7 linked regions of the Oryzias latipes genome follow. The protein of the gene in region 1 purifies or fractionates together with the protein of each later gene. This does not show direct contact. Links are inferred from orthologs where the notes say so. Each region holds a gene or a part of one and is shown on either strand. Other genes may lie near its edges.

Evidence for each region.
Region 2: the proteins of hnrnpr (region 1) and histone H2AX purify together in Homo sapiens (affinity purification with mass spectrometry; 3 studies listed by BioGRID and IntAct, with this or other methods). This does not show direct contact. The link is inferred for Oryzias latipes from reciprocal best matches to the Homo sapiens genes HNRNPR and H2AX.
Region 3: the proteins of hnrnpr (region 1) and larp7 purify together in Homo sapiens (affinity purification with mass spectrometry; 4 studies listed by BioGRID and IntAct, with this or other methods). This does not show direct contact. The link is inferred for Oryzias latipes from reciprocal best matches to the Homo sapiens genes HNRNPR and LARP7.
Region 4: the proteins of hnrnpr (region 1) and dhx9 fractionate together in Homo sapiens (co-fractionation; 3 studies listed by BioGRID and IntAct, with this or other methods). This does not show direct contact. The link is inferred for Oryzias latipes from reciprocal best matches to the Homo sapiens genes HNRNPR and DHX9.
Region 5: the proteins of hnrnpr (region 1) and heterogeneous nuclear ribonucleoprotein D0-like purify together in Homo sapiens (affinity purification with mass spectrometry; 4 studies listed by BioGRID and IntAct, with this or other methods). This does not show direct contact. The link is inferred for Oryzias latipes from reciprocal best matches to the Homo sapiens genes HNRNPR and HNRNPD.
Region 6: the proteins of hnrnpr (region 1) and snrnp70 purify together in Homo sapiens (affinity purification with mass spectrometry; 3 studies listed by BioGRID and IntAct, with this or other methods). This does not show direct contact. The link is inferred for Oryzias latipes from reciprocal best matches to the Homo sapiens genes HNRNPR and SNRNP70.
Region 7: the proteins of hnrnpr (region 1) and hnrnpu purify together in Homo sapiens (affinity purification with mass spectrometry; 3 studies listed by BioGRID and IntAct, with this or other methods). This does not show direct contact. The link is inferred for Oryzias latipes from reciprocal best matches to the Homo sapiens genes HNRNPR and HNRNPU.

Annotation. Positions count from the first base shown.
Region 1 is NC_019869.2:6,652,000-6,656,268, reverse strand, and holds the start of hnrnpr (heterogeneous nuclear ribonucleoprotein R), read right to left. Parts: upstream 2,835-4,269; 5' UTR 2,665-2,834; intron 2,146-2,664; 5' UTR 2,142-2,145; coding exon 1,979-2,141; intron 1,896-1,978; coding exon 1,777-1,895; intron 1,699-1,776; coding exon 1,591-1,698; intron 1,489-1,590; coding exon 1,375-1,488; intron 740-1,374; coding exon 563-739; intron 417-562; coding exon 281-416; intron 195-280; coding exon 1-194. Other genes in the region: ATPase inhibitor A, mitochondrial, read right to left, coding at 3,771-3,912, 3,991-4,103. UniProt on the Homo sapiens protein: Component of ribonucleosomes, which are complexes of at least 20 other different heterogeneous nuclear ribonucleoproteins (hnRNP). hnRNP play an important role in processing of precursor mRNA in the nucleus.
Region 2 is NC_019872.2:15,233,864-15,236,744, reverse strand, and holds histone H2AX, read right to left. Parts: upstream 1,307-2,881; 5' UTR 1,208-1,306; coding exon 782-1,207; 3' UTR 596-781; downstream 1-595. UniProt on the Homo sapiens protein: Variant histone H2A which replaces conventional H2A in a subset of nucleosomes. Nucleosomes wrap and compact DNA into chromatin, limiting DNA accessibility to the cellular machineries which require DNA as a template.
Region 3 is NC_019876.2:11,528,769-11,532,906, reverse strand, and holds the start of larp7 (la-related protein 7), read left to right. Parts: upstream 1-1,204; 5' UTR 1,205-1,331; intron 1,332-1,730; 5' UTR 1,731-1,731; coding exon 1,732-1,939; intron 1,940-2,018; coding exon 2,019-2,119; intron 2,120-3,200; coding exon 3,201-3,284; intron 3,285-3,378; coding exon 3,379-3,543; intron 3,544-3,624; coding exon 3,625-3,709; intron 3,710-4,138. UniProt on the Homo sapiens protein: RNA-binding protein that specifically binds distinct small nuclear RNA (snRNAs) and regulates their processing and function.
Region 4 is NC_019875.2:12,671,709-12,676,016, forward strand, and holds the start of dhx9 (ATP-dependent RNA helicase A), read right to left. Parts: upstream 2,924-4,308; 5' UTR 2,826-2,923; intron 2,316-2,825; 5' UTR 2,245-2,315; coding exon 2,134-2,244; intron 2,064-2,133; coding exon 1,923-2,063; intron 1,695-1,922; coding exon 1,589-1,694; intron 1,517-1,588; coding exon 1,362-1,516; intron 1,189-1,361; coding exon 1,040-1,188; intron 580-1,039; exon of another isoform or gene 520-579; intron 434-519; coding exon 387-433; intron 1-386. UniProt on the Homo sapiens protein: Multifunctional ATP-dependent nucleic acid helicase that unwinds DNA and RNA in a 3' to 5' direction and that plays important roles in many processes, such as DNA replication, transcriptional activation, post-transcriptional RNA regulation, mRNA translation and RNA-mediated gene silencing.
Region 5 is NC_019870.2:2,825,186-2,829,393, forward strand, and holds the start of heterogeneous nuclear ribonucleoprotein D0-like, read right to left. Parts: upstream 2,947-4,208; 5' UTR 2,586-2,946; coding exon 2,419-2,585; intron 1,327-2,418; coding exon 1,158-1,326; intron 499-1,157; coding exon 337-498; intron 1-336. UniProt on the Homo sapiens protein: Binds with high affinity to RNA molecules that contain AU-rich elements (AREs) found within the 3'-UTR of many proto-oncogenes and cytokine mRNAs.
Region 6 is NC_019866.2:24,779,803-24,784,120, forward strand, and holds the start of snrnp70 (U1 small nuclear ribonucleoprotein 70 kDa), read left to right. Parts: upstream 1-1,494; 5' UTR 1,495-1,699; intron 1,700-2,059; 5' UTR 2,060-2,065; coding exon 2,066-2,212; intron 2,213-2,286; coding exon 2,287-2,349; intron 2,350-3,473; coding exon 3,474-3,528; intron 3,529-3,610; coding exon 3,611-3,675; intron 3,676-3,742; coding exon 3,743-3,805; intron 3,806-4,029; coding exon 4,030-4,111; intron 4,112-4,318. UniProt on the Homo sapiens protein: Component of the spliceosomal U1 snRNP, which is essential for recognition of the pre-mRNA 5' splice-site and the subsequent assembly of the spliceosome. SNRNP70 binds to the loop I region of U1-snRNA.
Region 7 is NC_019882.2:13,244,996-13,249,318, forward strand, and holds the start of hnrnpu (heterogeneous nuclear ribonucleoprotein U), read right to left. Parts: upstream 2,884-4,323; 5' UTR 2,722-2,883; coding exon 2,289-2,721; intron 1,185-2,288; coding exon 1,070-1,184; intron 1-1,069. UniProt on the Homo sapiens protein: DNA- and RNA-binding protein involved in several cellular processes such as nuclear chromatin organization, telomere-length regulation, transcription, mRNA alternative splicing and stability, Xist-mediated transcriptional silencing and mitotic cell progression.

The sequences.
Region 1 (4,269 bases):
CTCTGGGTCGGGTTCAGCTACAGGGTCAGCCCACTCAACGGTGACGGGGTTGCCCCAAACCTTCACCTTCCCACTCATTAGACGCCGCCGAGCTTGTGCTGCAGACTTGTGGTCCTCGTACTCCAGAAAGCAGAAGCCACGGTTCTTCTTCTTATCGTCTGGCTGGTGGTACAAAATCACATCCTGAAGACCCTCTGCAAAGAAAAACCGCATCACTCGTCAGCGACAGACAACCGACTGAAAGGGTTTCTCCAAATACAATCATTGACTTGAAACAGACCTGTAACCTTGCCGAAGTCTTCCAGTATACTTTCCCTCGTCTTGTTTTTGGGAATTGATCCAACAAACAGCCGGTTGTTTGCAACAGATATACAAACTCCCAAATACTTGCCAGGGCGGATTTCGTGGTTATCACACTAAAAACAAAAAAACAAAAAACAGCAAATACTTGAAAAGTAATGAAACACAGTAGAAGAAAACACACATTTGCTCAAACTATTCTTCCACAAAATCACTTTCTTTTATATCCAACGGGATCCATGAGATTTTAAAATGGACTTACAAGCTTGACGGCCTTTTGGGCATCGTCCTTGTTGCAGTATGTGATGAAAGCGTATCCTCTGTTTTGACCAGAAAGGGGGTCCATCATTAACCTCAGGTCCCAGATGGGACCTGCAGACTCAAACAGGGGCACAAGCTCGTCTTCATACAAATCTCTGGGGATTTTTCCTACAAACACCTGAAAGAAAGACAAAACACAAAAACTAAATCAATCATGAAAAAAATGACAATTCTATATAAAATTAAAACAATTTCCCTTCTAATTCAACTATCCATATTTATTTTCAACTTTCTTATTTACCTGCTTTATATATATATATATATATATATATATATATATATATATATATATATATATATATATATATATATATATATATATATATATGTGTGTGTATATATATTTCGTTTTAGCATGCGTATGTGAACGATTTTAAACTGATCTTGTGGCGTTTTCCTGTTGAAATAGAGGAAGAAAATTTAGCTCAAATTTGTATTTTTTGGGTATTTCTTTATTCAAATCTATGTAAATCAGGAGCAGACAAATTTAAAAAGATTGTATTTGTCATCTCTGCTCTGCAAAGGGAAAAGGGGGGCGGGGGCGCTTCACGGCAACGGTCCACTCAGGTGAATTTCTACTGAACTCCTGTCGCTCTGCGGAAACTATAATCTAGAAAACTGCACAGGTTTTTGATTGTTTTTCAAATGATATGAAAAGACCAGTGAGAACACTTTGAAAATAGATCAAAAGATGGTCGGAGTGGATCTTTAACGAACAGGATGTGTAATCATGCTTCTTTAAATAATCCCCACCTCTGTTCCAATCCCTGGATGTGTGCCTTTGAACATCTCCTCAGGTGGGGGGCCTCCATACTTTCTTTGTCCCGTGGTGACATCTAGGGTGTATCCTGTTCGCTCCAAGAGAGCCTTGGAAAGTAAACAATCAAAAAATGGGAAAAGCTTTGTAACTGAGAGAACATTTTGGCATTTCAACTTAGCCCAAAAAAACTGCAAATCAAGAGCGTTTACCTTTATTTTTGCCTCATCTGGGCCTTTAGTGGACTCTTGTACCTTACTGCCTTGTTTTTCTCTCTGCCTATACGTCTTCATAACTCCACAAAGAAACGCACTTTTATTCTGCAATTAAACAGACCAAATGATACTTTAGAAAACTGTTTAAAAAAGTACTGATGAGCACATAATTGAGTGTAATACCTGCACATGGGACAGATCGCTCTCCTTAAACTGCTGCAGGACTGTTAGAGCTCCCTCCTCATTGAACTCCCGTAGAGCATCAATGGCCCTTTCATCCAGATCTGCATACGCTACCAGGCCTAAACATCATGACAAAGTGAGCTAAACTGAACACATCAACAACAAACACATTGGAGCTTTGAAGGTAACAACAACCAGCCACCTGTTTGGAAAATGTTGTCTAGATTTTCAGCCACTTTCTGGGGAAGCCCTGCATCAATGAGGGTCTGGTAGTTTTCAGTGTGAGTTGTAGTTGTAGTCACATCCATAGGCTCCTCTTCTTCCTTTACTGGGGCCGAACTACCATTCACCTCAGCGGAAGCCATTCTCCTGTTAGATAGACATGAATAAAAACAGTTTTAGTTTATTACTTCATTTACTGTCAACTTGACATACCAGAAACAAGCTATCAAATTACGGAATATCTGGCTTTTAACTCAAAGATTTTTTAAACGAAAACGTTACGTTAAATGTCAGTATTATTATAAAAAACAATGTTATTTATTACTGATTTTCAAAATAAAACGACCCGCTCATACATTTTAAAAGGCTTATTCCACAGTACCGCCCCCTTCACATGGCGCCTGATCGATAGCTAACATCTTTCATTTATAATACTACGTGGCCCAAAATGTTCTAAAAGCTTAAGAAAAAAACAGTCATCAATGAGATCCAAAAAGTTCCACTCGTTTAAATGAAGTATTAAAGTCCATGTGTGTTGATTTTAGCAGTACACAAGAATACGTCCTAGCTAGCTAACGGGCTAACACGAAGGCCTCGCCGTGCAGCCCAGACACCTTTACACGCGCGCGCCGTAAAAGGCACAAACGGGTAGTTAGCAAGACTTACCAGGATGATTTAGAAAACTAGCTGGAAAATGTTTGAAAAAATATGAAACACTTGTTTTTTCGGGCGTTGGGAAAATGCTAAATGCCAAGAATGTTCAGGTCTACCACACGACAAATTTTTTCCAGACGGCAGCGGTCTCGTCTCGGCTCGCCCGAACAACGCCACTGAGGGAAACATCGCGAGATGTGAGAGTCTGCGGTACAACGTTGGTTTGCAAATCTAGCTCGTGTCATTGGGTCTTCAAAATGGAAACATGACTTTCTGTAATATTTTTTATTTTTCTCAATTTTATGTTTTGTAATATCCGCTTTAAAATTGTGTAAATTTCCAGAGGCTACAAGGAAATCAAACTGTTTTTACAAGTGTAATCAATCTCCTCACCATAACTTAGAAACCAACATATTTACATTTTTTCCAGTACTAGTAATTTATTTTATGATTAAATGATGGGGTGTTTGATTGTAAATTTCGATTAAAGTTGAAATATTGCCCTTTTAAAAATGTGATTTAATCCATGTAATAATTATTCCTCGTTTCATTTGGTTTATTCATTTGTCCTGTTTGGTTTAGTGAGGTAGGAAAGTATTTACAAGGTCTGAGTGAATTTCTTAAATGGGTAAATCCCTCAGACAGAGCTAAGGCCTGAAATGACAGACCTTTGTGAAAGTTTTGGCTTCAGTTTTGCAGCAAATGCCCTTCTTGGTCTGATGGAGCGTATCCATCCCCATAAGCTTGTGGTACCTTTACAGAACAATCCAAAGACTATCCAGATCTGACTTTGCTTAGCAGCTGAGATCACATAAGACCAGGTATCTCCAGCTGTGCCATCAGAAGTGTTCACAACCTCTCCATATCATCACCATAACAGGCTTAAAATAAAAACAAAAAATGAGTCCAGGTGTAACCGGGAACCCTAAATTTTGAGATGGCATAAACAGGGGAAATGAAAATCAACATAAACCAACAGAAAATCAATCATTTTATTTTGGAACGTATATAAAAGATAATCGTTTGCTTCATTAACTGCCAAAATGAGCAGATAGTCAATTATCTTTACATTGTTTTCAACGTTGCCACCCTTTCTATCAGAGTTGTGAGCGCAAACTTCAATCGTCATGTTTCAGTTTTCTAATCTTGCCAACGTGGCGGTCGATCTCCTTTTGCAGACGCTCTATTTCCTTCTTATGGTGCTCAATCTCTTCCGAATGATGCCTCCTCAGCACCTCCAGCAGCTCCATCTCCTTCTTTCTGCAGACAAAAACCATACTTGTCAAAAAGGGAAACGCTGGCATGAAGTTTTCCTCGAAAACCTGTTTCATTTCTTACCTGAAGTACCGCTCCTCCTCCACCACCGCTCGCTTTCCAAAAGCACCTCCTGCCTGCCTCACAGAGCCTCCTCCACCTCCACCTTTCCCTGCTCCTCCGCCCAACTCACCAAGCTGGAACAAAGGGCACATCATAGGATCCCAGCATGCAGTGGCTTTTCCATAAAAACGAGCAAACTTGACTTTTTTTGGTTTCAATTAGGCAACTGTTGCATAACAAAAAAAATTCTGTTTCTTTATTTACATTCCCCAAACATGACAATTCTTCATGCAAATAAAA
Region 2 (2,881 bases), on another chromosome or scaffold:
CTCTTTTTTAAGTTCAATCTGTATATTAAGGATATCCATAGTTCAGAACAGCGTCTGTGTGTAAAATGATCAATAAGTTGTCGTGAAGATCAACATTCTGGTTTATCATTATGGTTTGGTTATTTTTACATGCATTATTTCATACCTGACTCTGGATATTGGCAATTGTTATGCAACTAAATGGAAATCTATATTGGAAATCTTCAATAAGGTTTTAAACAGTTTAAAATTCAACCAAAGCTAAGTCAGGGTTTAGTTTCCTGCTGGACTTTTAACACTAAACCGGTTTGGAACAAATTGTCGATCATGATTCAGATCTATTAGTTTCCTCCTGACTTTGAAGAACATTTCGTTTAGTTTTACTAATTACGACATGCTATGATCACAATTTTGACAAATCTCCTGGTTTTGTAAGATCAAAACTACATTTTGCAGTATAACTTAGTTAATTTGAATTTGTCAGACCTTAGGACACAATTTATCCCGGTTCCGACATCTTAGTTTGTTTACTACCTTATGCAATGTAAATGTTATGAAGTCCTTTAATATAGTTTAATTTTCTGCTGAGTAGGGAAAGAACACAAAGAAACAAGAGTGAACAATCAAATTTTCAGTTTAATGAAAAGCCCTGAATGTAACGTTTTACTAAGTACATGTTACGGTAGTTTATACAGTAAAGTCAGTCATCGGTCATATGTACATCATGAGGGGAAAGGTGCTCTTTCAGTGAGTGAGTGGCCCTTAAAAGGGCCTTTGGTTTTTAGCGGCGATAGCTTAGAAGCTAATATTCTTGAGACTGCGAAGACTTCTTTCCCGCCTTTCCGGAACTTGGTGTAGCCTGGCCGGTCTTCTTCGGCAGCAGGACGGCCTGGATGTTTGGCAGGACGCCGCCCTGGGCGATGGTCACGCCGCCAAGCAGCTTGTTCAGCTCCTCGTCGTTGCGAACGGCCAGCTGAAGATGGCGTGGGATGATGCGGGTCTTCTTGTTGTCCCTGGCGGCGTTCCCGGCCAACTCCAGGATCTCAGCGGTAAGGTACTCGAGCACGGCGGCCAGGTAAACCGGGGCTCCGGCACCTACTCTCTCGGCGTAGTTTCCCTTACGGAGTAGACGGTGAACACGGCCCACGGGGAATTGCAGACCAGCACGTGAGCTGCGGGTCTTTGCCTTAGCGCGGGCCTTTGCTCCAGTTTTTCCTCTTCCGGACATATTCGATGTAGAAAGTTCCCTCCGGTTTGTAAACACAAACGTTGTCTTTCAGTGCTGCAATACAGATATCCAAATAGCACCACGTTGACCTGGATATAAACCCCGTTTTGGTCCCGCCCTAAGCATCGATTGGCTTTCAAAGAGGAAGTACTGCGATTTCATTGGTTTAGCGAGACGAAACCGGAAACGTTGGTCAACGTCTTCGATTTACAGCGTTTAGGCTATGAACCAATCACGTAAAGGGTTGTGGGATAAAGGGAAACGATTGGTTAGTACTTTGGTCTCCATGTTATGAGTGGCTATGTGGCAGACACATCAGACCAATCGGAAATGTTCCCTCCAGGTTTAAACCTTTGGCGGTTTTAACACAGCCGCTGACCAAAGTCACGTGAATAATTGAAGCTGAGCAGCAGAGTTGATGGTATCTAGAAAATTCCAAAACCTAAGATCATTTCTTTTAAGTGTTCAACTACATGCCAGATTATACACTTTGTGGCATAAACTGAAATAACCTTGATATGTACAGTATATGTGTGTGAATTTTGAAAGATTGTGAGTGTTATGGAATCTAAGAACTTTATTGATGTTTACATAAATAAATAAGCAAAGGGACGTGTTTGTTGCGCTGTATTTTAGCTGCATATCTTGGCAAAAAGCTATCTAAGCAGTTTGTGTTTTTTCCAATAACTCATTTTGAGAATGTAGGAACAACTGGATACTATTTACTTAAAAAGTTACTTTAAATTAAAGACTTTAGTATTTAGCATACTGTTACAAACAGTTGTGTTAAACAAACCGCTTACCTCTTATTTTTTTCAGGAACTCCAGCTTAGATTTACCAAGCTGTGTTCGAGTTATATGATCGAGTTTTGTTGATTAAAAATTCCCATTGAGACCAAATCTCCTTTTCAAGGGATACCTATTTACTTTTTAAAGACATCTTCTCCATCCAGTATACCTGGATAAATAGTGGTTTGAGAGGGAAACCATACGGATCTGCAAGAAACCTTTGTGTAAGGAAAGAGGTTTGTATACTGATGTATTTTGTATCTTTGCTGTAAGAATCTTCTTTGAATAATGCACAAAAAAGAGAATACAGATGCTAATATTAAGTAATAGTTTAGAAAATAATTTATTTGCAATAAATACAATTTTTGAACAAGTAATAGGTCACACAAACTTTCAATATTGCAGTTTCATTCTTGTAAATTTGTTTTGTGGATGCTTAGCTCCACCTTTGAATATATATCTGTCAAAAGAGAAGAAAAAACCTGAATATTAACACTTATTTCAAGTTTGTGCCCTTCTCCCCTACTTATTGCAGTCACTGATAAAAGCAAAAATCAAAATTCAGATAAAAAGTCATAAAACAGATAATGTGAATTCTGTTACCTCTAATAGCATTGGAAGGGTGCAGCAGATTTCCATTTTATCAAAACTGAATTTGTAGCTCTGAGAACAGACCACCCATCTTGTAAAAATTTCTCTATCTGGCTACCTTTCAATGTTTTCTCTTACTTATAACAGTTTCTCAAGGTAATGCAACTGTTAAATGCAAATGCAAAAACCTGCATTCTTAACTCTTTTTCATTTAGACATTTTTTGAAACAATGAGGTCACCCAGTAATGACATTTATAGACATAATAATTTGCATTAAGCATCACCCACAGAGC
Region 3 (4,138 bases), on another chromosome or scaffold:
AATCAGGTCAAATTTGAGCATGTCATGGAGGTAGGCTTTGTTGACAATATTTGACATATGAAACATCTACATAGCAATACATATCTAATGTTGTTTTCATTGTATATATGTAATTGACTGCAACGAAAAACGGTAACGCTCAAACAAAAACGTATGGGGAAATGCCAAAAAATCGAGTCTAGGTCTCAAAATCCTCGCACGACGTAAATGTAATTCTCTACGAATTAATGCAGCCTCCTCGTCTATTGGGTCCTCCAAAAAAGGACAAGCCATTCTTGTCACTTGTCTCTGTGTGACTGAAATTTGGGCAATGAAGGTTAAAGCGAAAAATACCGCTTCGTCTTTAAAAAGGGGAGGGGACCGGCAGAAACCTTGAGTTTAAAGAATAAAACCTGCTCCCGACCAGGTTAGGTTCACAGCGTAAGTAACTATGGACGCTGACTCCGAGTATAAGTTACCTATCTTTCAGAAACGGGTTTGACTTACTCTGCTTTCTCCGGTTTAACAAACCTCCCATTTTGAAACGGAAAACCCAGGGTTTCCCTGATTTCAGGGTTAACGCACTCAGAGTTTACACTTAACCTCATTTCTGAAACAGGGCCCAGGAAAACATCACGTCATAAAAAATATAAACCATATAACCTCAGACATTAATACAAAACATGTTGGCCCGTACGGGGATCGAACCCGCGACCTTGGCGTTATTAGCACCACGCTCTAACCAACTGAGCTAACCGGCCGTGCGCGTTATTTAAACACAGAGAATAAAATTGTTACGAGGACGACATCTCGGCATATCCATGTTACTATTTACTATTATTATTATTGTTTTTTTTAACCGTCTTAATAGGTAGATTGACCATGTCACTTATCAAAACTAGTTACTTATGTCACATAAAGACATGGGTAGTTTAGTTTACACAAAAAAGAGGACAAAAAAACAACAGAAATAAATAAATGTGTACTTCTTGGATTGGAAACTATCTTTTTACCTGTATTTCGTTTACATTTGAAATGAATGTTTTCTATTGCTACTTTGCGTAAATTTAAATAAATATATTTTTAAAAATGTTGCTGAGTTTTTCTTTTTTCCTTAAAAGTATGAAGTTATTTTTTTTTCTTCACATTAATCGGTGCTGAATTTTCTTGTACGTCTCAATATAATAGAACTTACCGGAAGTTGAATAAACGTCCTGGCGGACAGTTGTGACGACATCATTGTGCGACGTCTCCATTCGAAATATTCTGTGATGTTTGTCCGTTAGCCGCAGTGTTTTTGTATTTTTTGTTATGTTAGTATTAAATTGATGTTTATAATATCTTTTACTCAGGTAAGTTTGCAAAAATAACTACATTTTTAAAAGTAATTTATTGACAGTTAAGCGGAACTTTGCTCGCTTTTATAACTATTTTCAACAACAATACTACTGAATACATGTTTTAAAAAGTCGGACGTACAGCCGTGATTTGGCTTAAGAGCTGTTTTTGCTGAAATTCTATTGTTTTCGCTTTTCAATTTTTTTTTTTTTTTGCTTTACATATGAATGAGATTTGTTTATTGTGTTATGGTTACAAAAATGTCTTGTGTGTAAACCCCAAGACTCAAATGCAGCAAATAAACAATAAACCATAGTAAGATAATTCCTATTATGTGGTTTAGTTTTATTTTTGGAGATTTTTTAAAATCAGGATTTTGGTTTTGTATGAGTGTGTGGGATTCTGTTTTTTAGGATGACTAACACAGACAAGGAGGCAAGTGGAGGCGGTGCTGCCGCTGCACCCAGCGACAAGCTGAAACTTGAGACAGAGAAGAAGAAGAGGTACCGGGTCAAACAGCTGCTGGGAGACGTGAAGAAGCAGGTGGAGTTCTGGTTTGGAGATGCAAACCTCCACAAGGACCGTTTCCTGAAAAAGATTATAGAGGAGTCTGATGATGGATGTAAGGAGCCGTCAAGATGAGGATAGTGTGATTTTTCCAGGGGTTAGGATCTCTAACCTCCGTGTGAATCCCCTTTCAGATGTTGACATATCTGTGTTGACGGGCTTCAATCGAATGAAGAAGCTGACAACGGATCCAAAGCTCATTGCCAGGGCGCTGAAAAATTCCACTCTAGTTGAGGTAAATGTTGTTACTTGGATGCAGGGCTGTGTTTTGTTGACTAATCCAAAGTCACAGAAGACGTAGTAGGTTAAAATCACAAACTCCATGGAAACCAAAACCTCCCAAAAATACAAAACTGGAACAAAAACCAAGCAGCAGACATCAGCATCCAAATGCAGTAAAAATAAAATTCAGAGAAAAAAAGGAATACAATTTAATAATAAAAACAGCGATTAAAAAAAATAATGAAAAGCAAAAAAGGCAAATAAACAGATACATCATCTGAGTTTAATAGCTTTATTACTTTTTAAAGGGAATTAAAGATTAGATTTAAGTATTTTTTATAAAGCAAAAAATTGGGGTGAAGTTAAAAAAACAACCATTAATGAAAAATAAAATTCCTAAAATGATCTAATAATTAACTTAGAATTAAATATGTTTGTCTTTGTATAAAGATCCAAATGGAATAGTATTAGGCAAAAATGAAGTATTTCTTTTTTGTTGTGTTTTTTGAAAGCTAATCATTTAAATCCTGCCAAAAATATTAACCAAATTACAATAATAAAAAAAGATGTTTTAGTATCAGTTTTACACAAAGTTATATTGAATAAATCTAATTCTTCCTTTTTTTTATATCTTTATTGTCATTGTTTTTTCAAAGCTTTAAACAACATCACAACAAAACATTTCAATTCTGGCGTTAAAAGTAATATGTATATATAAAAAATATACACAAAGGAGAAAAAACCTCTATAAGGATTCCACTAAAGTTTGAAGGTTTTTTCTTTTTTTTTAACAATAAATGTAACTCTCTCAAAAGCTAAACGTCGAGGGTGTGTCCATACTCTTCCAATAAATCAAATTCTTAAATATGATTTTGTATAGATATATAAGGAATTGTTTTTAAATGAACTGCTTTTATTTTAAGCATGTAGCAACCGCCCAGTAAGGGCTGTCAAAAGGGAACAGCGAGGGTGGGTGTGATTGGCGCCTGTAGGCCGTTTAACCCCACTCCCAGCCTTATTAGCAGTTCGTTCTAGCTTTGATTTCACTTCGGCCCCTTGAATGAGTTGGGTTTCGTTTTTCTTTTGCGTGTTAGGTTAACCTGGAGGGAAACAAAGTAAGACGTCAACAGCCGCTTGGTGACCCACCCATCAACAGCGACAGCTGCACTGTCTACGTGGTAAAACGACGTCTTCTGTTGTCGCCTTCGCTTGGCTTAAAAACATAATTCAAGCCTTACACATATTTACTGATTTTCTTTCAAATTTTCCAAGGAACTTCTGCCCAAGGATGTTTCCCACAGCTGGATAGAAAGGGTGTTCTCCAAATGCGGGAATGTGACGTATGTGAGCATTCCCAGATACAGGACAACGGGCGACTCCAAGGGTTTTGCCTTTGTTGAATTTGAGAATGAAGAACAAGCGCAGAAAGCAATAGAGGTGAGCTATCCGTGTCACTTTTCCTCTTAAGGAAAGCATTTTTTTTTTCCATCTTAACGTATATTTTATCTCTGAAAACAGATGCTGAACAACCCTCCTGAAGATGCACCCAGGAAGCCTGGGATTTTCCCCAAGACTTTAAATAGGAAGCCGATTCCTGTTACAGGTGAGAGAGTGCTGGTTCAGTGCTATGTCACACATCACTGTATGTTGGCCTGAGCAGCTCATTCAGACTCTGTATATAACAATAAGAAGGTGTTTGTTGGTTCAGCTTGACTGCTTCATTCCAATACCATTGCTTTTTCTCTGTCTGCTCTCCGTTTTCTAACTCATTTATTTAAATCTGTGTCTGCAAACATTGTTTTATGTTTAAGTATCGAATGCAACTGTATGAAAGCTGACACGAAGCTCCTAAACATTCGAGGGCCTTCTTTGTTTTTAAAAGCATTTGTGCTAGACATCTCTTTTTAACAGGTTAAGCCTCAGTTTGGTTTTCCAGGCGTCCCCACTCTTACATTTAAAGTAGGGACCTGGTTGTTTAGCAGGTCGGCTAACATTGATTTATCAGTTCACAATAACTGCAATAACCGTTGCA
Region 4 (4,308 bases), on another chromosome or scaffold:
AGTCATCTCTGACATCACCCGTAGGATTCTGCACAGCAGTAACGAATCAAAATCGATTGGTTTTTGTTGCATCCACCTCAACAGGGTTGAAGGCACAATGGGGCGGGAGAAAGTAAACTATTCCTATTTGAGGGGTGATTCGTTTGTTTCATATTTATTAAAAGAATTGGTTTCTGCCGGTATTAGTCTTTTGTCATTTAGTTTTAAGAAAAATTTCAAAATGCTAAAAAATACAAGCTTTCTGATACTTAAAACACAAGAGAAAAGGTTTTCTATTTGTTAAGGAAAGCACCAATTTCTATTTACTGGCTCTGCTAAAATAAGCGTAAAGAATCTCAGCACAGAACCGTCTCTGTGGTCTCATGTACAGACATGTCAAAACTTACTTCTGCCGAGCTTCCTCACGAACAGCTGCATCTCTGCTATGAAGCTCCTGCAGACAAATAACATGGCAGAGTTACATCCCGTGCCTTTCAAAGTAAAAGCCTAAAGCCAAGCATCCCTCAGGAGCAGACTCACCTGATGTGTCCTCAGAAAGAAACCTGGGCGTTTTTCTGCCAGACTTTCAGGTTTTAAAGCCTACAATGAAGAGCAACACCACAAATCACGACCAGAGACCACGGAGCTGCACCCATGGGGGGGCTTTAGAGAACCTAAACGCCATCCCCATGTATTTCCTCAGCGTGGTCGTGAGTTCTAGTGTCGCTCTGCAGGCTTTGAGTTGAGCATGTGGCTGTGAGGGCTCTCCGGTGTAGCCGGCACACGCAGGAGCTCTCTGGGTTTGCAGCAGTCCGGCAGAAAAACACACAGGTGCTACCAGTGAGCGGCGGGCCCAGGAGTGTGGCCCCTTTCAGAGGAAACATTTACCAACCCGAGAAGCTGCAGCTTTTTAATTAGAGTTCATTTGTCAATACCCCACTCTCCCACCCCCACCTGACAGATCTGAACAGCAGAAAAGACCAGATCCAGACTGACGAGAGACCTGGGCTCGTCAGGCTGGATCTGGTCAGACGGCTTGTAGGGGAGCGCTGATCCAGACCTGTTGTGATCGGGTCCCACTTGGCTGTACGTGTACTCGGAGGTGATCTTCTCCTGCTGGAAGAACCGGTTGAGACGGGCCTTGGCGTTCTCCAGGGTCCAGTTTCCGTGCAAGTTTGCATTCAGGTCTACCTCCTCGGATTCCAGCGTCTACAACAGGAGAGCCGCATTAGTGGGACCGGTACTAAGGCAGAGCAGTCCCACCTGTTATGAAGCCGCCTAATGTTGTCACAGTCATGTGACTGCAACATGTGACAACACAGCTCAAAAGGACCGGGATCTTCTTGAAAAGCAGCTTCATGGCACATAGCTGGCTCCAGTACCGCTTGAGCCTCCTGCTCATCCCTCCGGGCGTAGTACTCCTTCAGGTTGGCTCCTCTGTCCCACTCAGCCCCTCCTCCTCCTCCCCCATTGCCACCTCTAGGAGGGAACCCTTGTTCAGTCTGTCCTGGAGGTGCATTGATGAAGGCATCAGCCTCTGAAAACAGAAACCACAGGATGAAGAGGACTGAAGTCAGGGAGCAGCAGGTTAGGTGTGTTCGGCTCAAACCTTTCTCCACCTTCACCACCAGGTGGGGGGGCAGCGGCCCGCTGGCTGGGAGGGTTCCGAAGCTTCCCGGAGGTCCTTCGGGCTGGTTGGGTTCTGGAGCCACGGCCTGGGTAGAACAACAAAAGGCCGTCAGTTCCGGTTAAGTGTTCGCTGCCCACTGGTAAACTTTTGACTAATCCTTGCAGTCTCCCAGTCTTTATGGATCTTGACTTTCTAAATGGTTTTCTGTTCTGGCCTGAACATAGCTGGATGCTCTATTGATTGGAAAGATGTTCCTCTGGTTTGCTTTGTTTTTACATCTCCTTTAAAAAAGCGTAAAAAAAAGCTTTCTGACCCCCAGAGCTGGAACCTCTTCAGCCTTCATCTCCCCGACTCGGACCAGATAGTTGACAAAGTCCCTGGCGGCGTTGGTCTGAGCATCCTTCTTGCTGGTGGAGTTTCCCATCCCCACATAGGTGAAGCCATCCACCCGCACCTTCAGGAGCAAACAGAGACGTTACGGGAGAGTCTGGTTACAAACCAGCTGGCTGTGAATGCAGACCGACCTCACACATGAACTTCTGCCGGTTTTTGTTGCCCGCCGCCCGGATTTCGTAGTTGGGAGTCAGCTTTTTCTTTCCACACCAGGCGTACAGGAAATTCTTGATGTCCGCCATAGTGGCGAGCTTCCAGCTCCGCGTGGGCTTTACCTGCGAGCTTCAGGTGTGCCCTGGTCCCTTAGTGTTGCCTGTAAAACACAGAGGTGGCTCTGAACAACCGCAGAATCACTGGCAGGCGTCACATCAAAACATACAGTGTTGTTCAGGAAGCTACAGTAAACCGCTGCCTGCGTGCGTGTCGTAAAAGAAACCCTAAACAGAAAAACATATGTGCGCCGACACACACACAGGGAGAAACGATAACAACACTAACGTTACTAAGTCACGGGGGAAATGTTTGACCGTTTTTATACTTCAGCTAGCCACGTGCAGCTCCTATCATCAAGCAATAATGTGATCCTCCATGCAATATTTTTCCCCAATTGATCCCACATTGAATCATCAGTTGCAACTGAGACAACTACAACGAAAATGCTAGTATGCTAACGTTAGCTTCATTCATCAACCGGTGTAAACGTTGACAGACGCATTGAGGCTAAACTAACTAACGCCAGTAAGACACGAAGTACGTATGCAAAATAAATATTAAAAAAGCAAACATTTTCATTCTAACATCAACGACTACATTCAACACCTACCGTCCGCTCAGTCAAGTCTGCAGTGCAGATTCCTGCAAAGCGGCAACAGCGGAAGCTTTGAACTCTTCTACCGCGCAACAGCGCCACCCTCTGTTCTGGAGGTGAAATGAACTGTTAGCTCCTGGCAGTGAGTTGATCCTTTTTTATCAACGCCCCTCTGCATGATGATTTTTTTTATTCTACTGGGATGAGAACTAGATTTCTGTCTTTTGTCACTCTAGTTGGTTTCCTTTACTCAAATTACATTGTGGTTAACATCAACCCATTGTCCACAAGGATTATAAGTGGCCACTGTGTCATAAACATTCATAAAATCAGTGTAAGTTTTTGTTGTTGTTGCTGTAATCAAATTTAAATTATTAAAATTATTCCAACCCTGCGAGAGACTGGCGACCTGTCCAGGGTGCCCCCTGCCTTCGCCCACAAGTGGCCGAGATAGGTTCTGGCAGCCCCGTGACCCCGAAAGGGAGCAAACGGAAGAAGATGAATGAATGAATGAATGAATGAATGAATGAATGAATTAACGAATGAATGAATGAATAAATGAATGAATGAATGAACGAACGAATGAATGAATGAACAAATGAATGAACGAACGAATGAATGAATGAATGAATGAATGAATGAAAGAACGAATGAATGAATGAACAAATGAATGAACGAATGAATGAATGAACGAACGAATGAATGAATGAACAAATGAATGAACGAACGAATGAATGAATGAATAAATGAATAAATGAAAATTTTTCACAATTTCTCCTTCATGAATTCAATTCAGCATTTATGTAAGTTCCATAAACAATCAGAAGTTCAAATTTCGAGTAACAACTATGGAAATATTAATCTTGCTTCTGTGTGATTCATATTTGGAGCACGAAATATGGACTCCAAATGTAAATTATATTTTAAATCAAGTCAACAAAAACCTTTTATTTTGTTACGTGGGATGTTCCATTGTTTTTCTCACGAATAAATTTTGTTTTAACAAATCAGTTTATTTTTATAAAACAAAAATCTTCAAATGACCAAATCCTTGTCTAATTTCTAAACTTCTCATCTGATTTTAATTTAAGAAAAAACCAGATCTCTCTTATAAAATGACATAGCTGTAACATGACCTGCATTGTAAGGTTTATTAGCTTAAAACCATAGATTTTTATTTCATTTTTATTTTTTCAGTGTCAACCGAAGATTTAATCTACAGAATCTACAGAAAATCTGTCCTGTTTATAGTCCTGATAAAACCAATAGTATGAAATAGAATTGCACATTTTTGCTGCTCTTTGTTTACTGCTGTAGACAGGAACCTCACAGGAGAGAAAACCACGCTTTCTCTATCCATATCCAGTTTTTTGAGGTGGTCAGTCGCTGAGCAGAGTAGCCATAAACGCCTGTAGAGGCTCTGGCAGAAACCTGCTGTAGTCACAGAGACGGTGAAACCAGTGTGTCTTGTTCTAAAGCCCCATCTTACATATTCTGT
Region 5 (4,208 bases), on another chromosome or scaffold:
CTGACACTTCACAGAGTCCTGCACCATAAGAGGTGAGACAGGAAACGCTTGTCCTCCTGTCAGAGCAAGTTTCAAAATAAAAGAGCAAAATGAAAAAATAAACCTGAAAACCCCTGAGAGCGTTTTTCACAAAAGCACAGAAGCCGAGAGTGCAACATTTAATGACGAGAATTAAAGAAAAATACAGAAGAATTACACAGTTTAGGGTCTGCAGTTACGCTTTAGGTCTCAAATTGGACGCAAAACTTCTGAAAGTTCATAAATAAAAAGAGTAAATCAAGTGTGTCAAAGGATAAAAACTGGTTTAAGCTGAGTAAAAAAAAAAACGACACGAACCTCTCCAAAGGCACCAAAGTACTCTCGGACCTTCTCCTCTGGGGTGTCTGGAGACAAACCACCAACGAAGACTTTCTTCACCGGCTCCTTGCTCTTCATGGCCTTGGCTTTTTTAGGGTCGATGACTTTTCCGTTGAGTTTATGTTCCTTCTGTGACGCCACCTTCAGAACAGAAAGCAGCAAATACATAAATAAAACTCACTAAATGACACAACAACAACAAGAAAAAAATCAAAGCTGATGTAATAATTAGAAACAGAATATAGAAGGAAAATGTTGAGGCGTGTCTCCACAGAAATCTGCTGCTCATAACAACATCAAACGTAAAGAAATATTTCAAAAGGCTGACGTGTTCACTCATGAGTTTGTCTGAAATCTTCTGAATTTATTTGATAAATAATATTATTGCTTTTTTTCGCATGAAGGAAATGACTAAGCCTCCAAAATAAAAGACGAACTTGGAGCTGAAACAGTTAAATGTTAAACTGCTTCACTGATTTATTGTCAATTCAGTGTGATTCGAACAAATATGTATTTATTTCAAAAAAGTTGTGAAACAAACTTTTTTTAAATGAGTTAAGTTAATCTGCACGTATCTGTTGATTTAAACTGAACAAAGGTGAACGTTTTATGAATAAATTCTTGAATGTTTGAAATTCTTGAAAAATAAAAAATAAAAAGCTGCTTTTTAAAAAAGTCAAAACAGAAGACAGTGCTTACAAGAAAATTTCCTTGATCTGAGAGACATTTGATTAGATCAGACTGTTTTTTTCAACACCACCCCAGTAAAAACAACATTTAGGTATTGAACAGAATCGAACCTTTTCCACACTTTCGGCGTCTTTGAAGAGCACAAAGCCGAAGCCCCTGGAGCGTCCGGTCATGGGGTCCAGCTTTAATGTGCAGTCTACCACCTCCCCGAACTTTGCAAAGTAATCTTTCAGGTCTTTCTTCGTGGTGTCCCAGCTCAGGCCTCCAACAAACATCTTCCTGCCAGCAAAAAAACATTTGGAAGGAGATCCGTGGTATAAGTTTGTGTTTGTTGTGACCCAAGTCCTAACTATAAGAATCTTTCCTCGGGTTGCTGCTGGCATTTTCATTCATAAAATATAAAACGAGTGAACAGTGTGATGAAAGAAGTGAAACAGAAAGAACTGAAGAAAGCCTCTTTGTTTTTATATGACCCCGAAGAACCCACAGGGTCAAATTTGGCAGCTTTTCCTTTTTTTTAATTTATGTTTTTATGTAAATTATGTTTTTCTATTGTGTTTTTTAGCCACAGTTAATTGCTGCTCCCCGAAACAAACAAAGAAACTTTCAAATGAACTTCAAAGACCCACTAATGAAAAAGGTGTTTGGGGTATTTTTAGCATGTTCTTGTAGCATTTTTCTGATGATGGACGACATTTATGGTAAAATTAAGCTTAGACTGTGTTTCTGAGTATTTCTTTATTCAAATCGTTGTGCATCAGGGGCAGACGAAGAGTTTGAAAAAGATCATATTTGTGATGTAGAAAAAACACGCTGGGCGGGGCCACAACCTCCCTGCTCCTCTCCATTCTAATGCATCCACTTACATACAGACTAATAGATCCATCTGCAAAGCTTTGTTTTCCTCGTCTGAGCTGGAATCTGGATCTGAATTTGTTGCCCCGCTAATGGTAGCTTGGGGTTGTGAGAAGCCATAAGCTAGCAGGAGGGCTTGTGAATAGAGACCTCTCAGTTAGGGTGATGGGGGGGGGGGGGGGTCTGTGCCAATGGTCCCGCCCACAATTTAGAGGTGAATTTCTAATAAACTCCCGCCGCTCTGCAGAAACTAAGTCTTACAAAAAGACAGGTTTTTTTTATTTAGCTAAAACGGTATAATCCTAATCAAAATAAACGCCAATACATTTTTGGAACTCACCAAACGTTGCCGCAAATATAAAACAATTTGAAAATAACTACAACAAATGTGCGTCCATGGATCAACAGTGCCGTGGATAACCGTGCAGGAGCTTTCCCGGTCATCCGAGCTGTATGTCCCAGAAGTCTCTCTGGGAGTATGTTTGTATGAAAGGCTCCCCGCGCGGATAAACTTACCCTTCATCTTCTTCGTTTTTGCTGGCGTCGATCCTTGATCCCTCGGCCTCGTCCCCCATCAGGCCGCCATCCCCCTGAGCTGACATGGGGTCGTCATTGTTAGCCTCTCCATCCTCCTCCATCCTCATCATACTCGGGTCTTCGCTAAATTCATAATCCTCAGACATCTTCACTTTTTTCTCGAAAAGATCAAATGCTAGTTCTAATGAAATGATTTTCGGAAAAAAAAAAATCAAAAGTAATTTTGAGCCAAAAAAAATTCGATTTATTTTAAGCTAACAGCCAAGATAGTTGCTAGCTGCTAACAGATAACAAATAACAAAAGCCGATGTTCAAAAACAGGACGAGGCTAGCTCAACTTATTCGAAGTTATCTCAAAATTTAAATAGATAAAGAAAACGCCTTGATCTCTAAATATAATTTTCTTTCAGTTCTAATAATTTTAAAGGATATTTTTTCATCCGATATTTTAGTTTTCTTGCCAGTCGTTTCTTGTTTGTCTACTTCTGCGAATCCCAAGTGAGCATTTGAGTGCAGAGCGCCACCTGCTGCAGCGGAGATGTAACACCAGGGTAATTTGTAAATAATTGAATATTTTACATTTTTTAAAAGGGACTTTATTCAAATGAATTGTTCTCTTATTAATAAATAAATAAAGAGATTTGTTGTTTTAGTTTTGAGCCTAATTTTCCAAGATCCAATTATCTTCATCTTAAAAATCTTTAGATACAGTTCTAAATCTAAATATGAAAGACTTTTAGTATTGGACCTTTTTTTCTCTCCAAAATAATGGAAATGGTTTTAGGAGAAACCAATCAATCAATCAATACATACATACATAAATAAATAAAAAGCATGACCAACTCTATATTTGATTGTTTTGTTTAAAAATGCTAGGCAACAAAAACAAAAATAAAATTCTGAAATTGAAATGAAAGGAAAGGAAAACTGCTCAGCAAACGAGCAACCAGAAGAAAAACTTTATCAAAATCAAAAATCATACTAACACTGACACTCATGATGGCGCATCAGGGACACCATCAAAGAAGAAAAAAAGACATATGTATGAAAATAAAGTCATACAATTATTAAATAAAGTTAAAAGTTAGGAGCATTAGTTTGTACAACATGAGAACAAAGTCATACAGTTATGAAGAAAAATCTAATTTGTGAGAAGAAAGTTGTACAATTGTGAAAAATAATTCAACAATTTTCATATATAATGATAAACAAAGGCTTCAAAAAGTTGTAAAAAAATATTACATTTAGCTTTTAAAATGTGCAAAAAAACAGTTTTATACCTGATTTATCAAGAAATCTGTTTTTGTAACTGTATTTTTATGAATTTATAACTTTTATTTGACAAAAGCATGAAAAAACGTAAGTGGTTTATCAAAAATAGATGGTAATACTTATTATTTCTTGCAAAAATTGTTCTAATGCAACATATTGTGGTCTGTATTCGAAAATCTAGTGTGCATCGATCTGGTGTTGCACACTGGTTTTTCGCAGAGACTTCTGGGAAATTTGTAGGGCACTTGATTTTGGAATTTAAATGTGAATATTGGGCCATTCGATTTCGGAATAGATGCGGACAAAATGGCAAACGCACTATAGTGAGTAGTCGTCTTGTAATTCAATAGTTTGGTACTCATCACCAATTTCTGGTTTCCCCACTAAAATAAGTTTTACGACTCAACAGCGCCATCTCCCGACGCGGAGGCTAAACTGACGATGCTGAACATGTGAGCTGGTTGTTGCTTTGTAATGGTTGTCGAGCTCATGTCACG
Region 6 (4,318 bases), on another chromosome or scaffold:
CAGATTTGGCTTCTTTGAACCAGCAGGTAACTCTTGTTTGGAACCGCAGGGGGACGAGTCACTCAGTCCAGTTTTCATACAGTCAGTTGTTCATAGGTAGATAGGTTGGTTGGTTGATTGATTGATTTGGTTTGGTTTCTTTCAAGTATTAATTGTAGTCAATACAAGAGAAAAATCACACGGATGTATCAAACTCCTTACAGAGATAATCAACTGCATAGATTCAAACAAACAAACAAACAGAAACAAAGACACACTTAAGACACATTTAAATATAGTGATTATTAACTAAATAGTCAAGTAGAAAGTGATTTAGTGCTAGGAAAAAAAGGAGTTGGAAAAAGCAAATTCATATAATCTCACTCCTATTGAGTTATTTTGTGTGAGAGTTTTGCAGTTTTGGATGATAACGCTCCACCACATGCTGCCAGAATGATCACAACCAGTCTCTAGGCTCATATGGTCTGACCAGCAATGACCCTTGACCTGAACCCCATAGAGCAGGTCTGGGACCAGCTGAAGCAGAGACTCTTTTGTAATAAAATTAAGGGTATTATATTAGTTTAATCTGTGTTCCCCCACACTTCAATACAAAATGTAAAGTACGGTAAAACCAAAGAGCAATATAACACATGCACACTCTGACATGGTAAAATATACTTGGATTTGTTCAAAACAAAAAGGGTCTTGGTTACTTTATTTTTTACATAAAATATGAGATTTCCATGTTCATTTGTCATCCAACATAACCCCTAAAATTTAAATTCAGACACCTGCTCTATATTTATGTTGTCAATGGATAAAGCCACTTCTGTTTTTTCTTTATTACCAAATACCATAAACTTTGTTTTTGTTAATTATAATCAAACCACATTTTAAGTTTCATTTCCTTTTTAACACTTTTAAGTTAGGGTTTTAGATTATCCCTGAACAGAGAAATTTGTCTTCATGTCCAAATAAAACAAACTGCAACAACTTAGAAATACCCCAAACATTTATAATTGAACCTTGTGGAAGTCCACAAATAATATTCATGAGATCAGACTTATTACCTCCAAACTGCACATACTGTATTGTCTGTTTTGTAAATAACTGGTGGGCGATTGCTCTAACCCCATACGCATGCAGTTTAGAAATCGAGATAGAATGATCTATGGTGTCAAATTCCTTCTTTAAATCAATGATAACTTTTAATGTATTTTTCTTTTTGTCAATTGCTGTTGAAATTTCTTCAACTACTTTCATTGTAGCAAAACCTGTAGACCTATTAGAACCAAACCCATAGTGATTCTCACTTAACAAGTTATTTATTTTTTTAACAAAAAAATAAACTTTTAACAATGTCAAAGGAAACTTATATTTATTTCAATAAAATTCAGAGCAAAATGGGAAAAATCACATGGAAATCACATTGTCAATAATAAACTCATTGGACGGCGTCCTGACGTCATCACGTAAGTTACGTCAAAAGACGTACGTTCACGCGGCGGTCCCCCCCGCCATTTTATATTTTCAACAGGCCGAGCAGCCGCAGTACGCAGCCAGCTATCTCCACGTTGTTTTCAGCTCCATTTCCAGCATTTTTATCTTCACGGAGTCTCTTTTTGGCGGTTCTACGTTGAGCCACCGAACCCGCGGACAGTCCCGCTCCTCCTTCAGGTCCATGAACTAAAAGCTGCTGGACTCTGGAGGAGAGAAGGTGAGTGTAAGGGCGCAGTTAGTGGTTAGCTCCATGCTAACGGGAGCGCTACATCCCACGAGCGGAGCAGACGCCTCCGGCTGCCTCCGGACGGCCAAACTCTTAACTTGTACGCAGACCATAACGTGTACTACTGTGGGAGGGGGTTCCTGATGTTCTACTTCTGGATGCATGAAATGCGTTGAACGCGTCCCCCGTCCTGTGGGGAAGTGAACAATAAGCGCGTGAAGCTAGCTAGCTAGTACGGGTATTACGGCTAGCTAGCTAGCTAGCTAGCTGCCCTGACAGCTAGTTTCGCTGCTTCATTGTGTTGCGGCAGATCCGTGTCTGATATCATGCATGTTTTCCTTATCGATCAAGTGAAAGATGACGCAGTTCCTCCCGCCGAACCTGTTGGCCCTGTTCGCCCCCCGGGACCCGATTCCGTTCCTGCCTCAGCTGGAGAAGCTGCCCCACGAGAAGCATCACAACCAGCCGTACAGCGGCATCGCCCCCTTCATCAGACACTTCGAGGTGAGCGTCGCTGTCACGTGCGAGCCTCCGTCCCCCCGATGCCTCTGTCTCACCTTCCTACTGTTTCCCACCAGGATCCTAGAGATGCCCCCCCACCAACCAGAGCCGAGACCCGCGAGGAACGCCTGGAGAGAAAGGTGAGTTTCCTCCCCCCTTTGCACATGTGCTCAAATACAGAACCTGATGGATAAATAAACGGTTTATCTCTGCTTTCATCCAGAAGATTTCATATTTGCGTTTGTTTTGCTTTATGGCAGCTGGCAGTAGCACAGATTCTGTCACATCAACCCAATGAATCATGGGAGATGTAGTAAACTCTGTGACACTGATGCAAATCTCCGGGCTTCATTATTGGATGCACTTTTTACACGGTCTGACACCGGATCCTGCTTGAAGCTACACTTCCACCATTGTTAGCTGGTATTTTGTCAGGGTGAGGAACTGGGGGTGTTTTACAAACTTTTTCCAAAATAAGAGCCATTGGCCTAAGTTGCTGCACAGTAGTGGTGCAGACATTTTTTTTAATCAAAGTGTCTTAAATAGGAAGTAAAAGTCTTCTGTGATCTGTAGTACTCCCAACTGAAACCTGGGCGTATTTCGATGAACGTAGAGCTAATATTCTGGCGATGGAAAATGTTTTTTTTTTTAGAACAAATAGGTGAAATTGAGTAATTTCTCATGGCACACTCAACCATCTCTTTACTATATAAACCTCTAACCTGATCCTGTCTGTGCTGCAGCGTCCACCAGTCGTTACTGTTTGGATCTCTGATTGTGCTGCGTAGATAACGATGGAAGGCATGTATACAGAAAATTAGGATTAAAATTGCATTTGTTAGTATTGTTGTTTGAGAAACTCAACGCCTGGATAGCTCCTTTATCGCTCGCCATTTTTGTTGCACAGATAATGTTATGTTGGGGTTGTAACGTTTCAGTTGAGCGTCTTGAGCCATAAAGGAAATTTATTTGTGAACTTGTGAATTGACTGAAGCAGGAGTTTGGCTGTGAAGCACAGACCTAATGAATGCAGATTCTCAAAGGAGGGGTAGTTGAATTACAGTCCTAACTCCTTCATTCAGCATTTTCTGCCTCGGTGAAAACCTCTCAAGTCTATAGAAATATTATACCAGGCAGGAGCCCAGCACAGGTGCATGCTGGCAGCAGACAAGAAACCAAGTGCGGGATTATGTCAGCTCTGTGCTGATGCTCTGCTGTTGGAGGCTCTGCGGTTGGCCGTCACCATTTTCTTTTCTGTTTCCAGAGGAGAGAGAAGATTGAGAGGCGACAGGGAGAAGTGGAGACAGAACTGAAGCTCTGTGAGTTTGTCACTTTCTTCACGCCGTTCTCCTCAAACGGTGAAAAGCTTTGTGCTCATCCTTCCTGTTTGTTCCATGTCAGGGGACCCCCATAATGACCCCAATGCTCAGGGGGATGCCTTCAAGACTCTGTTTGTGGCACGAGTGGTGAGTATTTGTCTTGGTTCTTCTCACTCCTTGTTCACATCTGGTAATTAAAACCTTTTTGTTTCAGAATTATGATACGACAGAGTCCAAACTTCGCCGTGAGTTTGAAGTCTATGGCCCCATTAAACGGGTAGCTATTGATTATTATTTTTCTGTGTCCAGATTTTCTTCAAAACATGAACCCTTTTGTCTTTACAATGTGAGAAAATTCTCCTGGCTCTTCAAAATACTATAAAAAAAAGTAAAGAGCCGTGCGTGAAGCGTTTTGGCGCCGCTTTGTGCGTGTCGTCGTGCGCTGACTGCATGTCTGCTGCCTCCGCTCTGCCGAGTCTCACCAGGAGTTTTTCTTTTCAGATTTACATCGTCTACAACAAGGGAACAGGGAAGCCCCGCGGCTACGCCTTCATAGAGTATGAGCACGAGCGAGACATGCACTGTGAGTACGGCTGAGGCATCGGCCACCAAAGCCAGTCTGTGTTGGTGTGTGTGGATCAGAGCACTGCTCGTCACTGATGCTTCTGTAAGGAGACCAGCAAACTGAGCTCTGCTCACCAGATCCATGTCTGCTGCTCGTCTGACGTGTGTGTGTGTGTGTGTGGGGGGGGGGGTCTGCTCGATGTGTCGCCGGTGGACTAACAGTTGC
Region 7 (4,323 bases), on another chromosome or scaffold:
TCTAAAGATGATCAGAGTGGGACTTTAACACAAAGGCCTGATGTAAACCCACTTTTACCACAAAGGTCCTTAAAGCTTAAAAATTATTTTAGATTATTTTGAAAGCAGGTTATGTTGTTTAGAAGGGAAAATATGGGCAAAGATTAAACTGATAAATCCCTAAAAACGTCAAGTGGACAATTTGGAGAAGCAGGAAGTGACTTTCCTGGATTAACACAACCAGAAATAAGTGATCACAATTTAAAAATAAATAAAACAGCCAACATTTTTGATGCTGTGCCCATCGATCTTCAGCGTCCAGGTAGTGCAATGAAAACAACACACGTGACCAAAAAAAGTAAGTTCATGTTCACACTCACACTGGAACTCCCTTGCAAGCCATGCATGAGGTCACAGAACGCGGGGTATAAAAACTCTTCCAAACGCACACAACATGACATTTTACACAAACATGATACAGAAACAGCAACAAGAGTGTGATAGAGAGAAAACAACAACAAAAAGGCAGAACACTCCGAAAAAACATGGACGATCACTACCGAAGCTCCTCCGTGGACGCTCCAATAATCTTGATTTTTTTCTTTAAATCTCCTAAATCCTTGTGTGCTACTTTCTTTCAGACCCCTCGGCTACTTTCCTCAACCCACCCCTCCTTTTGAAAAAGTGTACACCTGCTATTTCCCTCTGTGGGTTTTGCTTAGAGTAGCCTCCATTCACCTTAAGGACACAACGGGCTTTTCCAAAAGAAACAAAACAATAAGTGGCATGAGGAACAGATGTGAAAAGTCACAGATGCACTTCTGCTACAGAATGCAGTCCATTAAAGACGCTATGTGAGTGGGCATTGTAGAGTAAATGGTAAGGCTCTTTAGGTAGTCAGGGATGACCCTGAAAACACATGTGTGAAAGTTATTAAATAAGAGAATACTTTTTATTTTAAACAAAAAAACAGAGGGTTTTCCTCTTGCTAGAAATGTGTGCATTGGCACTTAAAGCCAATACAATCCAACAAAGCTATGGATGGCGCTTCAGGGATGCTGAAGGCCATTTTGCTCTGTCCCATCCTTACCAGCTGTATTTGTTCTCTTCAATAAATTCAAAGTAGCCCCTTCCATGTTCCTCCCGGCGTCTCTTAACACCCTTCTTATTCTTCTGATCAGCATTCGTGTCTTTGTCCGCATCCCCTTTGAAAATAGAACAAAGATATAGAATGAGGTGCTCCTTTTTGAGACAGAGAGAGAGGTCGGACTAGCAGTGGGGTTCTGGCCCACAAAGCCCGTTCATTAGTTACATTGTGTCCATCATAATTCATATGAATGTTCAAAGAGGCAGCACTATACTTACACTGAAAATACAGTACAATCAAATGGTTATGACAGCTTTTAAGACCAGGTAGTTAAACAATAAACTGGCCAAAAATTATAAAATAAATGAGTGATGCTTTGTGGGGGCGAAATAAAAGTCTGAAAAATACACCATTGTCAATGGGGTTTGATTAACTTATAAGGGAAAGTTTACTGTTTAAGGGGGATAAATAAATCATGCAAGTAAGGCTATTTAGATATGGTTTTAAACTACCTCCCCATTTGTTACACTGTATGATTTTGGAACCTTTATTAAACAGAAAAACCACGACAAAAAAAACTAGCTAAACAAAAGCAGCAGAACCAGCTGAGCTACCACTATTTAAATTTGGGGTTAGCCATCGCAGATATTCTCCTGTTTATTTTATTTGTGCAGACTGGGAAATGAAATGTTTCAAAAGTAATTCCAGTGAGATTGTACAAATGACAGTAAGATACAAGATTTGTGGCTTGCAAATTCCCCCTTTATGTCTTAACAGGAAGGGAAAATCTGAAATGGCTAACCCTGCTAAATTAGCTTGTTAGCACTACACCAGAAACAAAGGAAATCGCGCTAGCTGACAAGCTAACACACCTTACAAAATCGAAAGAAAAAGCTTAAAGGTCAACCAAAAAGGACGGTTCTCGGCATATAAATTTAATTAAAACTATTACTAAACTTTAAATTGTGTTTTTGAAACGACTCTTTAAAACGTGCCTGAGAGAATATGGTAACGCGTAATTAGAGTTACAAAACGATTAACTAAGAGGAGGTGACCGATGCTAGCTGCTAATGCTAACTAGCTTGAATCACGCCGCCGTGTTCAACATGGACGCTCCTTGGTAACGCGCTAAAATCTTCGCAACCAGCCCCCGAAAAAAAAAAACAGCCAGCCACAGTCCATTCAGCCAGCCACCTTTTCAGCATCACTTCACCAGACTCACCCTCAGCAGCTTGCTCCCCGGGCTCACCATCCTCCGTGTCAATTTTTTCCATGTCGTCCACATCTCCCTTCAGCATCTCGTCGTCTTCGTCGCCTTCTTCCCCCTCACCCATGTCTTCGTCATCCGCTACGCCATTGCCCTCGTCCCCATTATCATTATCCTGTTCTTCCTCATTAGCCTCCATGCTCTCTTCTATCGGGCCGTCGCCTTCCTCTTCCTCTCCCATCACCTCCTGTTCGGCGGCCTGTTCGAGGGTTTCCTCCTCCGATCCCTCCTGGGCCGCAGAAGAATCCCCGACCAGGGCCTCCTCGTCGAGCGCGGCCTGCAGGCGGTCCATCAGCTCGGCCTTCAGCCCCTTGTCCGACAGATTACGCTTCTTCAGCTCGTCTTTCAGCTCGTTCACTTTCAGCTTTTTCACGTTAATTGTGCTCATTTTGAATGCAAGAGTACAAACAGTTTTTAAAAAATCGACGATAAATAAATAACTGAACGCCTATAGACAGGAAACTGCGCCAAAATAGCACCCGCTGTCCGAGAAGTCTTCGCCGGCGGAGAGCTGCGCTGAAACGGCGGTTGAGTGGGGAGGGGAGGAGGACGGCCTCTCTCCTACCGTAATCACTGAATAAATGGCGCAGCGGGTTTTTTCCCTCTTCTGGTAAACCTGCCATCTGCTACTGTCACACAAGAAAACATCTATACTTATCTTACAAACACATTATACATTATTGCAGAGAAATATTGTCCACTTATTTGCTAAAAAAGAGAAAAAAAGTTTCCTTTTTTAAATGACAGCTTAATTTGGGCCTCAGCAACAAAACGGGACAAACTACAGTTAATGTTGAAATTTAATACCAGTTTCAATGGAAATTTCCTTTGCAGCTTTGGTCTTTTATTATGAACTCTCTTTGGAATGTTGGTACTTAGTCACCTCATGACTACACTTCCACCACTGTGCATGGCAGCAGAATTATTGAATTTTATCTCCCAACTTTTCTTATCAAAGACCCACTCCATTGAAAAGCATGCTTTTCTTTTATGTGTTTTTAAAATTTTCTTTAAGCATTTTCCAATGATGATGGGCTGCACTGTGGTGTAGTGTTTAGCGCTCTTGCCTCACAGCAAGAAGGCCCCTGGTTCAAGTCCGGCTGGGGGACCTGAAACAGAACATCAATGGGGGACCTTTCTGTGTGGAGTTTGCATGTTCTCCCCGTGCATGTGTGGGTTTTCTCCGGTGACTCCAGCTTCCACCCACCATCCAAAAACATGCTTCATAGGTCACTCTAAATTGTCCATAGGTGTGAATGTGGGTGTGTGAAATGTGTGACCCAGCGACAGACTGGCGACCTGTCCAGGGAGTCCCCTGCCTTCGCCCATAAGTGGCCGGGATAGGCTACAGCAGCCCCGTGACTCCAAAAGGGATAAACAGAGGAAGATGAATGAATTTTCTAATGATGGAGGACATATATAAAGAAAATTCAGTTCTGAGTATTTCTTTATTCAAAGTTGTGAATCAGGAATAGAAAAGAAATCCAGTCTAAAAAAGCTTGTAGCTCTGATGCTACAGTTGTCTGGCCACAAGCTTCCTGCTCTGCTCCATTCTGACGCATGAACCTGTAGACGGCTAGATCTGTGTACGTCTTTCTTTTCCTCGTCTGAGCTGGCATCTGGCTTAAAACTGTACTGCTGGATAGCTCCAATATTGCCTGCCATTGTTGTTGCAACCTGACGTTAGGTTGGGTTGCGAGGGGCTGTAAGCTAGTGGGAGAGCATGTAACAAATGGATGACTGGAAATGAGGGAAGACTTCATCAGTTCTGTCCACAACTCAGAGGTGAATTTCTGAAAAACTACTGGTGGTCTGCAGAAACTATGTTCTAGAAAAACAACACAGGTTTTTTGATTTAGGCTAAAAACAGCATAATCATAATTAAAAGATCACTGGGAACACTTTTACTATAGATTAAATGATTATCAAAATGACACTTTCTAATTCCAAATTTGTGTTCTTTAAAATGTAAATATTTTTAGCTGTTGTT